Linked DNA regions of Rattus norvegicus. Each later gene encodes a partner of the first gene's protein in a complex. Links are inferred from orthologs where the notes say so. Each region holds a gene or a part of one and is shown on either strand. Other genes may lie near its edges.

Region 1 (4,954 bases):
GAGTTTGAGCTCAAGCTGACATGAGCTGACCAGCACTCTGCTTTTCTCTGCGGGGTTGACTTGTCTCGTGTTCTGCTCTGAGGACTCCTCTCCTCTCAGGGGCTACCGCCCTTTACTCATACAGTTCATCTCTGAAGTAGCTCACTGCCCAGAGTCCTGGGCTTGGTTTTGCTTGGTTCATCCTTTGAAGACACTGGACCATTTTAGGTCATTAGCCCAGGACAGAGGACTGTAGGACACCACAGGCTTATGGAGTCAGATCACTCAAGGCCTCCCGGGGCCATTGCTGGGCTTTTATAGAGCTGAGCAAGCAGGGACAGATTGCAAGTCAGGGATGCGTTTGTCTCACAGGAAGAAGGCTGCTGGTGCAGATTTTCCAAGCTAAATCCGGCATAGCCAAGGCTACAGATACAGACCTACAGGAGCAGCAAAGTGGGCACGCAGGATCAAGGCTCCTCTGTGTCGGTGGCAGGAGGATGACTCATGACAATCTTACTGAGGCAGGAGAATCACAAGCTCAAGGCCTGCCTGAGTTCAAGTCCAGCCCCCAAAACCTAAGGAGACTTTTCTTTTCTTTTTTTTTTTTTTCCCCCAGAGCCGGGGACCGAACCCAGGGCCTTGCGCTTGCTAGGCAAGCGCTTTACCACTGAGCCAAATCCCCAACCCAAACTTTAGGAGACTTAAGCGAAGGCTGGGGATGTAGCTCAGTGGTAGAGTGCTTGCTGTGTGTGTGCAGGGCCCTGAGTTTGAATCCCAACACCATAAAAAAAATCACTGGCTCAGCGGTTAAGAGCACGGACTTCTCCTCCAGAGGTCCTGAGTTCAAATCCCAGCAACCATATGGCGGCTCACAACCATCTGTAATGAGATCCGATGCCCTCTTTTGGTGTATCTGAAGACAGCTACAGTGTGTGTGTGTGTGTGTGTGTGTGTGTGTGTGTGTGTGTGTACACACTCTAATTCATTATGGCTGGTATGTGTGTGGAAGCAAGAAGATAACCTACCTGAAGGAGTCTATTCTCTCATTCTACTGTGTGAGTTGCTGGGAATTCAGTTCAGGTCCTGAGGCTGGGTGGCAAACACCTTTGCCATCTGAGCTATCTTGCTGGCCCATTTCTTAGTTTTTTTGAGGCAGGCTTTCGTGTAACCCAGGCTGGCCTTCAACTGGCTTAACACAGCCAAAGAAGAACTTGAAGGTCATCTTTCTTCCTCTACCTCCCCAGTGCTGGGATGATAGGTGTCACCATGTCACAGGCACCTCTAAACATACGAGTCACCCTAGAGAAAGCCTTCAGGTCTCGGTGTAAACGAAGCCCGAATCAGTGATACAGGATACTGCTGGGAGTTTAGGAAAGAGCTCTCCTAAGGTGGGAAGCAGAGAAAAAAAAAACTTCAGAAGCACATAACCTGGATGACCTTTGACCCTGGAGCATCACCTGACTCCGGTGGCTGCAAAGCTGTTCAGTAACTCGGAGGGAAGTGTGTGGAATACAGAAGCAAGAAGTCACCTGGAGTGGCCGGTGTCCTTCTTCCTGGACACCAGCGGTTCTGCTATCTTTGGGACACTGAGAGTCAGGGGAACAGCGGCTGGGGTGCACCTAGTGTGTGAGGGGCAGGGCCTGCAGGAGACATTAAGTTGTAGGGTGCCTGCGTGTGGCCTCAAACACCTTTGAATTGTTGGTGGCCCGATCTCGGGCTTCCGCCCTCTAGCTGCTCAGACAGCTCTCCCCTTCTCTTCCGGCCTCAGTTTCCCCATTCAGAGAGTAGTTAGGGGCAACAGCCTGCGCTCTCTGGACGAATCTTGAGCTGAGCTGGACTTAACTGAGGTCCAGGCGGCTTGGTACCCGGAGGGGTGGGCGGGCCCTGGGATCTGGCCACAGCCGCCTGGGTCCCGCCCCCGGTCCCTGCGGGGCTGTGCCCGAAGGCCCCGCCCCCCGCCCACGAGGAAGTGGCTGCGGCGCTGCGCGGGTCTCAGAGCCGGTTCGGCGCGTCGACTGTCCAGAGTCCGCGGCCGAGGAGACCCGAGGTGAGGGACGTGGGGTGGTCACGAGGTGTGTGTGGGATCTGAGGCTACCTAGAAGTCAGGGAACTCGAGCGATGTTCGACGGTGAGGGGGCTGAGGATGAGAGAGGAGTGGAGAGCCGTGTGCATGGGGGCCTGGTGGGGCTCCCGGCGAGGGTGGGGCTGGCGAGGAGATAATGGGGGACCGCGTTCTGGGGATGCGGGGTGCGGTGGGAAGGGTCGCAGAGAGTCCCCGCGCACTCCACGCCATCGAGGCGGCACAGCCCCAGCCCTCGCTCCCCCTCTTCGCTTTCCTGGCCCCGCTTTCCTATCCTCGCGTCCCGAGTTGCCCCGTTACTTTGGGCGCAGGGCCCCACGCCCAGTCACTTCCCCCTTGGTTCGCAGCCTTCCGGGTTGTTGAGACCGGGAAATGAGCTAGCACCCTGCCCCGCCTCACCCTCCCCCCCAGTGACCATGCCCACTCAGCAGGGGTCCAGGTTCCTGGGTCTCACCCGGTCTGGGCGAGTAGACCCGGGCGGCGCGAGGGGCACCCAGCCAGGCCATCCTGGACAGGGCAGGTTTGGTGGGGCCGGCGAGCGGGCAGGAATCCTGAACTGGGAGCCAGCCCAGGTGCTGGCCGTGGAGCTTGTTCCCGGGAGGCAGCTCCAGCCTGGGGCGGTGTAGCTGCTCCTGCTGTTGTGGCTGCTGACGCAGGCGAGCTACCTCGCCTGTGTAGAGCTCAACTTACCTTGCCGGAAAAATGGGGACCTTCCAGATCCGGAGGCTTAGCGGCCAGATGTGGCCAATACACTTGGCAGTGTGCCTGCCTGCCTGCAGACCTCATTTCTGCACTTGGGTGAACCTGGCCTTGTGTGGTGGTGGCGGTAGGGTGGGTTGGTGTCCGAAGCCCTGCGGGGCGACTTGGAGGGAAGTTCAACTTCTTCACGTGGACAATTAAAAAAAAATAGATTTACCAGGTTGGCTTCGACTGTAAGAGAATGTGCGGGGCTGGGAGACCGAGCAGGGCATCATAAAAGCACTGACCGGGGAGCATGAGGGTCTGAGTTTGAATTCCGGGACGTCCATGGCGCTCACACACACACACAAGTGCAAGGCAAAGTTCTGTGTGAATGAAAATTCCTAGTGATTCTCTTTTGCTCTGGGTTGTTTTGTTTTCTAGACAGGGTCTTTCCTCCCCTCCTTCTTTCCCACACCTCCCAGGCTGGCCTTGAACTCTTAGAGCTCTGCCTCCCCAATGCTGAGATTAAAGGTGAACACACACCGGGGGAACTTTTAAATAACAAATAACGTTAACCAGAGTTAATTTTGTTCTGTCTTGGTCCCTGGGCCTCGAATTTATTAGGCAAATGCTCTACCAATGAGCCACACCCTCGGCCTCCCCAGTGGTATGTGGGTTTTTCCAATCTGTCACTCATCCATTAAAAAAGGATTTTCTGTAGTAAAGAATCCCAGAGAGAGGGATTTAAAAGTTTGCTTTTTCAAGTTACTAAGTTCATCCGTGTTATTTTCTCCTTTTAAAGATTTATTCTTACGTGTTGGGTGGCGCGCACACACACACACACACACACACACACACACACACACACACACACACGCACACGAGCACACGAGCACACGAGCCCCAGGGTGGTGGAAATGATACCCCCTGGAGCTAGAGTATTTATTTGGTGGTTGTGGGTTGTGAGCTGCTGGAGTCCCAGGTTCGCTTGCACAGAGCCCTCTTTCCACCCTATGTTCTATCTGTCCTTACACAAGCTAGCACACTGCCCTTCCAAGGCACAGGACAAATGAGGCTCTCTCCACAGCCCTGCCAGCACCGAGTGTTCTGGGTTTTGGAGAAGTTTAATTTTGACTATCAAAACTGCTGTTTTACAGTATTTTGGAATTTATTTTCATCTGTGTTGCTGGATTTGACATTCCCCTCACTCACTCAAGGGCAGCCCAGAGGAGGAAGGGGAGGAGGAGGAGGAACTAGGGGCTTGGAGGGCCGATCACACCACCCAGGCTACCCACAACAGGAAGTTGAGTAAGGCTTAGCACCATAAAGAAGAAAAAGAAAGGGCTGCTGGCTCTGCTCAACTGAACGCCTGAGCTGGGCGGGGACTTCCTGGATTGCCTGTGGAGCCAAGGTTCTTGCTGCAGGGAACTCCTGCCTGGTCTAAGTCTCAGATCCAGCCAAAATGTGGATTCAAGGAAACAGAGCCAAGAAAAGCCAACTGAGAAGGAAGGACCAACAGGCTGTCCCCATTTGGGCCCAGGTTGGGGCCAGGGCAAAGGATGCCCCGCCCGGATGGAGAGTTAGAGGAGTATTTATTTATAACTACATTTATTTATTTGTGTGTGGGGGTGGGGGGAGTGAGAGGGCAAGTTACAAGAGCTGCTTGGTCCCTTGTTTCACTATGTGGGTCCTGGGGATCAAACTCAGGTCACCAGGCTAGGCTGGAAGCTCCCCCTATCTGTCTGTCTGTCTGTCTGTCTGTCTGTCTGTCTGTCTGTCTAATTTATCACAGGTTCTCCGTATGAAGCCCAAGCTGGCTTCAAACTCATGATCCTCCAGCCTCAGCCTTCTGTGTCTTTGATGAGCAGCAGCACACCCTGTTGGAGAGTTGTCAACCCTGTCATGTCGTCCCATGCTCCACACCCCCCCCCCCCAAAAAATAGTGTTTCTCGGTTCATCATCCCTCAATACAGACAGCAGGAGAGTGGAAATCATTCAGCAATGGTCAGGAAGTATTCCTGGAGGGTTGGAGTGTGGCTCAGTGGTAGAGCCCCTGCCTAGAATCCCCCAGTGAGGGGCTGCTGGGGTGTGGCTCAGTGGTAGAGCATCTGCCTAGAATGTAGAAGGCTTTGGGCACCATCCCCAATAGTGTGAAAGAAAGCAAAACAAGAACCCCTCAGTTTATTTTGTATCTGAAGCTGGCCTCAAATTCAT
Region 2 (4,749 bases), on another chromosome or scaffold:
CAACGTGCCTCAATCTCGCAGATTATGAGAGCAAAAAAGTCGAAACTCAGCCACTGCTTTCTGATCCCAAGCCCAGTGCTCTTTTTCAGTACTGCACAACAAACGAGGTAACTCAACAGGATGACATCCAGCCTTCTGCTGTTTGTGAAACCAGGTAGATCTGCATCTAAGCAGAGCATAGCCAAGTGTCTGAATTAATTTTATTTTGTAAATACGTGTACGACAGTATAATGCACAGAGCACAGCTATTATTTGTTTAATCTTAGTGCCTCTGACGGGAATGTGGAATATCGCAAAAAAGCTGATCTGGCGTGCCTTAAACAATAAATAACAACCTTGAAAGTCCAGTTTCTATTAATCCTTGCACACGCTATTTTCCCTCAGCGCCAGCGCTGAAAAGCCTAACTCGCCCACCCTCTTCTGGCATTCTTGCTCCAAATAACTACTTATTTTAAGATGTGATGACTGATTCTAGAAAATGCTACAAGTTTGCCCCAATTTCGCTACCCGTCCCCAGCCCCGGCCCAAGCATCTTTTCCCTCCCTCCAGATGGAGAGAATACCGAGTTGAGATTCTGCAGGTCCGGCCGCGATGCTGTCCCCCAGCACTGACAGGTAAGAAGTGACCTTTCGACTCCGTCCTTGGGGACCTCCCACCGACAGCGTGCCAAGATCCCAAGCCCCGGAAGGGGCTCTCAGCTCTGGAACGCAGCCCCCGGCGGCGCTCGGTCCGAATGGAGGGCTCCGATCACTAGTTTCGTGCTGGGCATCACTCCGCCTCATTCTCCCGCTGACTGCAGGGGACTAGGTTCTGCAGCCAGTCCATCCCACCCCACGCTTAAGTCCGACCACCCACACTTCACACCGGACCCCAACAACAAGCGGCTGGCACCGACGGCGGCAGCACTCCAGGCCACGCGCCCCAAGTGCCCATAGCCTCCAGCCCAAGACCCCCCGCAAGGCTGGACCGCAGAAAAGCGTTTCTATGGGAACCTCCCGGGTGTCACGTGACGCTCCCCGGCGGCCAATCAAGTCTCCCGCTCCGCCTCAGCCCGCTTTCTGTCCGCCCGCCGCCCCCGCCTCTCTCCCTCCAACCCCGCCCCTTTCCTGCAGCGGGCCCGCGCGTGCGCCGTGCGTCCCGCGCGCTCCCTGGCCGACGCGCGCTCCCGGGGGACGCGGGGGCGGAGCGGGGGCTGAAGGATGGCTGGAAGCTGAGGAGGAAGCCGCGCCGGCTAGCGCGCAGGCCCAGAAGCGAGCAAGCAGCGGCTGCCGGCGACGCCCCAGAGCGGAAGAGGGAAGTGAGTCGGACAAGGCTAGGCTCGCTGAAGAAGAGGCACCGCGGAGGGGAGGCCAGAGTTGCATCGCGATCCGGGATGTCGAAGAACACGGTGTCGTCGGCCCGCTTCCGGAAGGTGGACGTGGACGAATATGATGAGAACAAGTTCGTGGACGAGGAGGACGGCGGCGATGGCCAGGCCGGGCCCGACGAGGGCGAGGTGGACTCATGCCTACGGCAATATCCTTACGCTCGCGGCGGCCTGGGGTTGCGGGGACACGGGGACACGCGGCCAGCTGTGCCCGGCTCTAGGTGGGGACGGAGGGCAGGAGGTCCCGGGGCTATCAGGCCGCCTGCACCCCGCGGCCGCGCCTGCGAACTTGCCGGCGCCCCGATTCCTCAGGTGCGCTGTCCTAAGCGGCCGCACCCTCTCGGGGGGGCACCGGATGACGCCCTAGTGGGCACCTGAGCTCCAAAAATTCCTGCCCGGTGGGGACACGGGTCCCGCCTGGAGTCTTGCTATTCTGTCGGGTGTGTGTGATTTGCGGAGCGGGCATAGTTTATTCTAGCCAGGAGAGATGGAACAAATTGAGGCCCTCCGTACATTCAGCCCATGAGCTTTTTCCATCAGCAGTGTTATTTATTAAAAGAAGAGGGTTTGGGCAAGGTTGCATATAATTTATGAACAGGCTGAAGGGAGTTTTCTAATCCAAAATTCCCAGGTAAGGCTTTGAGCCTTTCACCTGCTAAGAAAAGGCTACTAGGAAAAGGATAGGGAATGCATGTAGAGAATCCCTGGGAATAATTTAAGATGAACCCCAGTGAATAAAGCAGAGAATGAGTCACTTCTATAAATCAAAATCGTTTTTCTGAAATTGTTTCCAGGCTAGTTAAAATATGGCTGTCAGTTCCTGGTTCCTTGGTTTGCATATCTGAATATTCATAACCTTGAAAATCATTTGCATTGATCCCTTAGAAAAATAGAAATGTCACAAAACCCCAAATTGGAGCTTTAGAAAACTCGTATTCATTAAGTCTGTAGATACATATCTCCCTCATCGATTTTCTACTAGATTATGATGAAGAAGTAAGCAGAAATATTTAGTGGTAACCACAGCATCGAATATATACATATATGTGCCATATACGTTTAACTTTCATTACCACTACTTCCACATTGGTTGCTACTAATTTATTTATTAAAATACTTGGGATTTTTTTCTTTAAAAAGTGTTCTTTAAGAGACTATGCAGGCTTGACAGTAGTTTATCACTAACTGTAGATAATTTTTATTAGACCTTTTCCACAGAAGTGGTGAGTTTATTCTTCGTTTAAAGAAATCTTTATGGTGGATATGATATTTTATTAAACTAATGTATTTTAGGTAATTTCTGGTGATTATTATGACTGTATCCATTATTAATTCAGTCTACCTTTTCATCAATCCATCTTATCCAAATATAAAGGTACTGTCTCTGGTTATAACTAGGAGCGGCAGCCCCGGTTGGGTACTACAGATGGAGGAACAAGTGACTCTGGTTCTCCTTTTAGGGAAATGACTGTCTTTTCTGACAGTCTGATTGGCCTTCCGTTTCCCGTGCTTGCTAACTCATTAGTGCTTTCAGTACGAAGTAGGTATGGAGGGTCCAGCCCAGTTTGAATAACCTGTAGGAAATAAAGTAAGCTGCCACCTACAGGTCGTGTGGGTTATTACATCATCTGGAGCCCTGTTCATCAATATGCAGCTATCACGGCCTGTCCCACTCTGATTGCCAGAGTAATCTGCCAGCACCTCAGTTAATACACAGTGTAGTTTCAGTATCAAGTTTAGGCTTGTTTTCCAGTAAGAATCACGCAGACAGGATGGAATACTTTGTTGGTAAACTGCATCATTCGATGGCTTAATTCTTAGGCATATTCTAAGACTTCTTGAATACCTGTCTAGACAATTGTGTGTATTTCCCTGGAAAGTGTAATCTCTTTGGTTGACAGAACAGGTCAGAACAATCTTTGCTTTTAAAAAAAATCATATTCTTAAGCGCAAGGCCCTGGGTTCGGTCCCCAGCTCCGAAAAAAAGAACCAAAAAAAAAAAATCATATTCTTTTAATTTCATTATTTTAACCTTTGGTTGACATATTGGAAAGAAACCCATACAGTTAATGACCATAGTAGTTTTTGTTACTGTTCACAAAGTCAAGTCTAACCCACCAGTCCCATAAAGTGGGGCTGCCTTTTTTTTGGTTCTTTTTTTCGGAGCTGGGGACCGAACTCAGGGCCTTGCACTTCCTAGGCAAGCGCTCTACCACTGAGCTAAATCCCCAACCCCGGGGCTGCCCTTTCTGTTATGCCCTTAACCTTCACTACAGGAAACATGACCGCTGCCCTACAGGCCGCTCTGAAAAACCCCCCCATTAACACAAAGAGCCAGGCAGTGAAGGTGAGTGGTAAACTACAGCGTTAATCCCTTCTGCTTCGCTATTATCAAAGTCCTCTGACACCTACCTTCAATGACCATTTTAACTATTTACTGTGCTTGACACGAGGGTTTACAGTGTGACTTTTGTTTTGAGACTGGACCTGAGTCTATAACCTGGCCTGAAACTTGCAGAGATCTCCCGCCTCCACTGGGATTAAAGGCATGCACCACCACATCCAGCCCGAAAGGAAGCCCCTGCTAAGTAGAACGGTCATGGAAAATAGGGCTGACATGTGGTTAGGACGCGTGGAGCACAGTAAACAGAAAGGGTGGGGACACCAGCTCTGTGTGTGCTTAAGGAGCAATCTGCTCGAGTTGAATTCAAACAGGTTCAAAAAACACTCAGCTGCCTCTTAATTCCCTAAGTTTTTCTTAATTATGTAAATATGAAATATCAGAATCAAAGGCATGAGCGCATAAAAAGGTGGTTTCCGTGCTACTTCCTCGGGTCACAGCTACTGCCTTATATGGTATTGCTGCACACTGAGGGGTTTCTACCAGGGTTTGTGTTCTTTTAAAAAATTAATAGAATCTTACACTTGAGCTGCATAGTAACGTACATGATCTTTCCTTAGCAATAAGATTATTTCCGTGGCATTCTAACTGCTGTACACCAGTATATGACATCGTATATGCAACTGATCCCTTTTACTGTATATTAGGTTTTCTAGTTTTTCCTGCTAAATGAATAATTTTATATTTTAATTGTTTATGTCAATAAAATTCCCAGAAGATAAATGCTAGATCAAAACTGACTTTTTTTTTTAAAGGCTTTTGATCCATAAAGCATTGCCAAGTCCCTCAGAAGAACTTCGTAGCTTACATCTCTGTATCAGTCCTCCACTGATTCTCAGGGAACTGCTTAGCTGTTTCTTGCTATACAGGTAACAAAGCCCTGTGGTCTGAAGCCTGCATCTCAGGAACCCAAGAACTTAAGAATTATATGTAAATGCATGATAACTATTGAAGGCACAGAACTTTGTATAGGAATTTTTCT

Evidence for each region. Proteins that work in one complex are often made in the same cells at the same time.
Region 2: Arpc1b (region 1) and Arpc5 share a complex: the UniProt entries of both Homo sapiens proteins name them as parts of the arp2/3 complex. The link is inferred for Rattus norvegicus from reciprocal best matches to the Homo sapiens genes ARPC1B and ARPC5.

The regions. Positions count from the first base shown.
Region 1 is NC_086030.1:14,606,493-14,611,446, reverse strand, and holds the start of Arpc1b (actin-related protein 2/3 complex subunit 1B), read left to right. Parts: upstream 1-1,958; 5' UTR 1,959-2,026; exon of another isoform or gene 2,027-2,051; intron 2,052-4,954. UniProt on the Homo sapiens protein: Component of the Arp2/3 complex, a multiprotein complex that mediates actin polymerization upon stimulation by nucleation-promoting factor (NPF).
Region 2 is NC_086031.1:67,453,069-67,457,817, forward strand, and holds the start of Arpc5 (actin-related protein 2/3 complex subunit 5), read left to right. Parts: upstream 1-1,310; 5' UTR 1,311-1,372; coding exon 1,373-1,515; intron 1,516-3,640; coding exon 3,641-3,713; intron 3,714-4,749. UniProt on the Homo sapiens protein: Component of the Arp2/3 complex, a multiprotein complex that mediates actin polymerization upon stimulation by nucleation-promoting factor (NPF).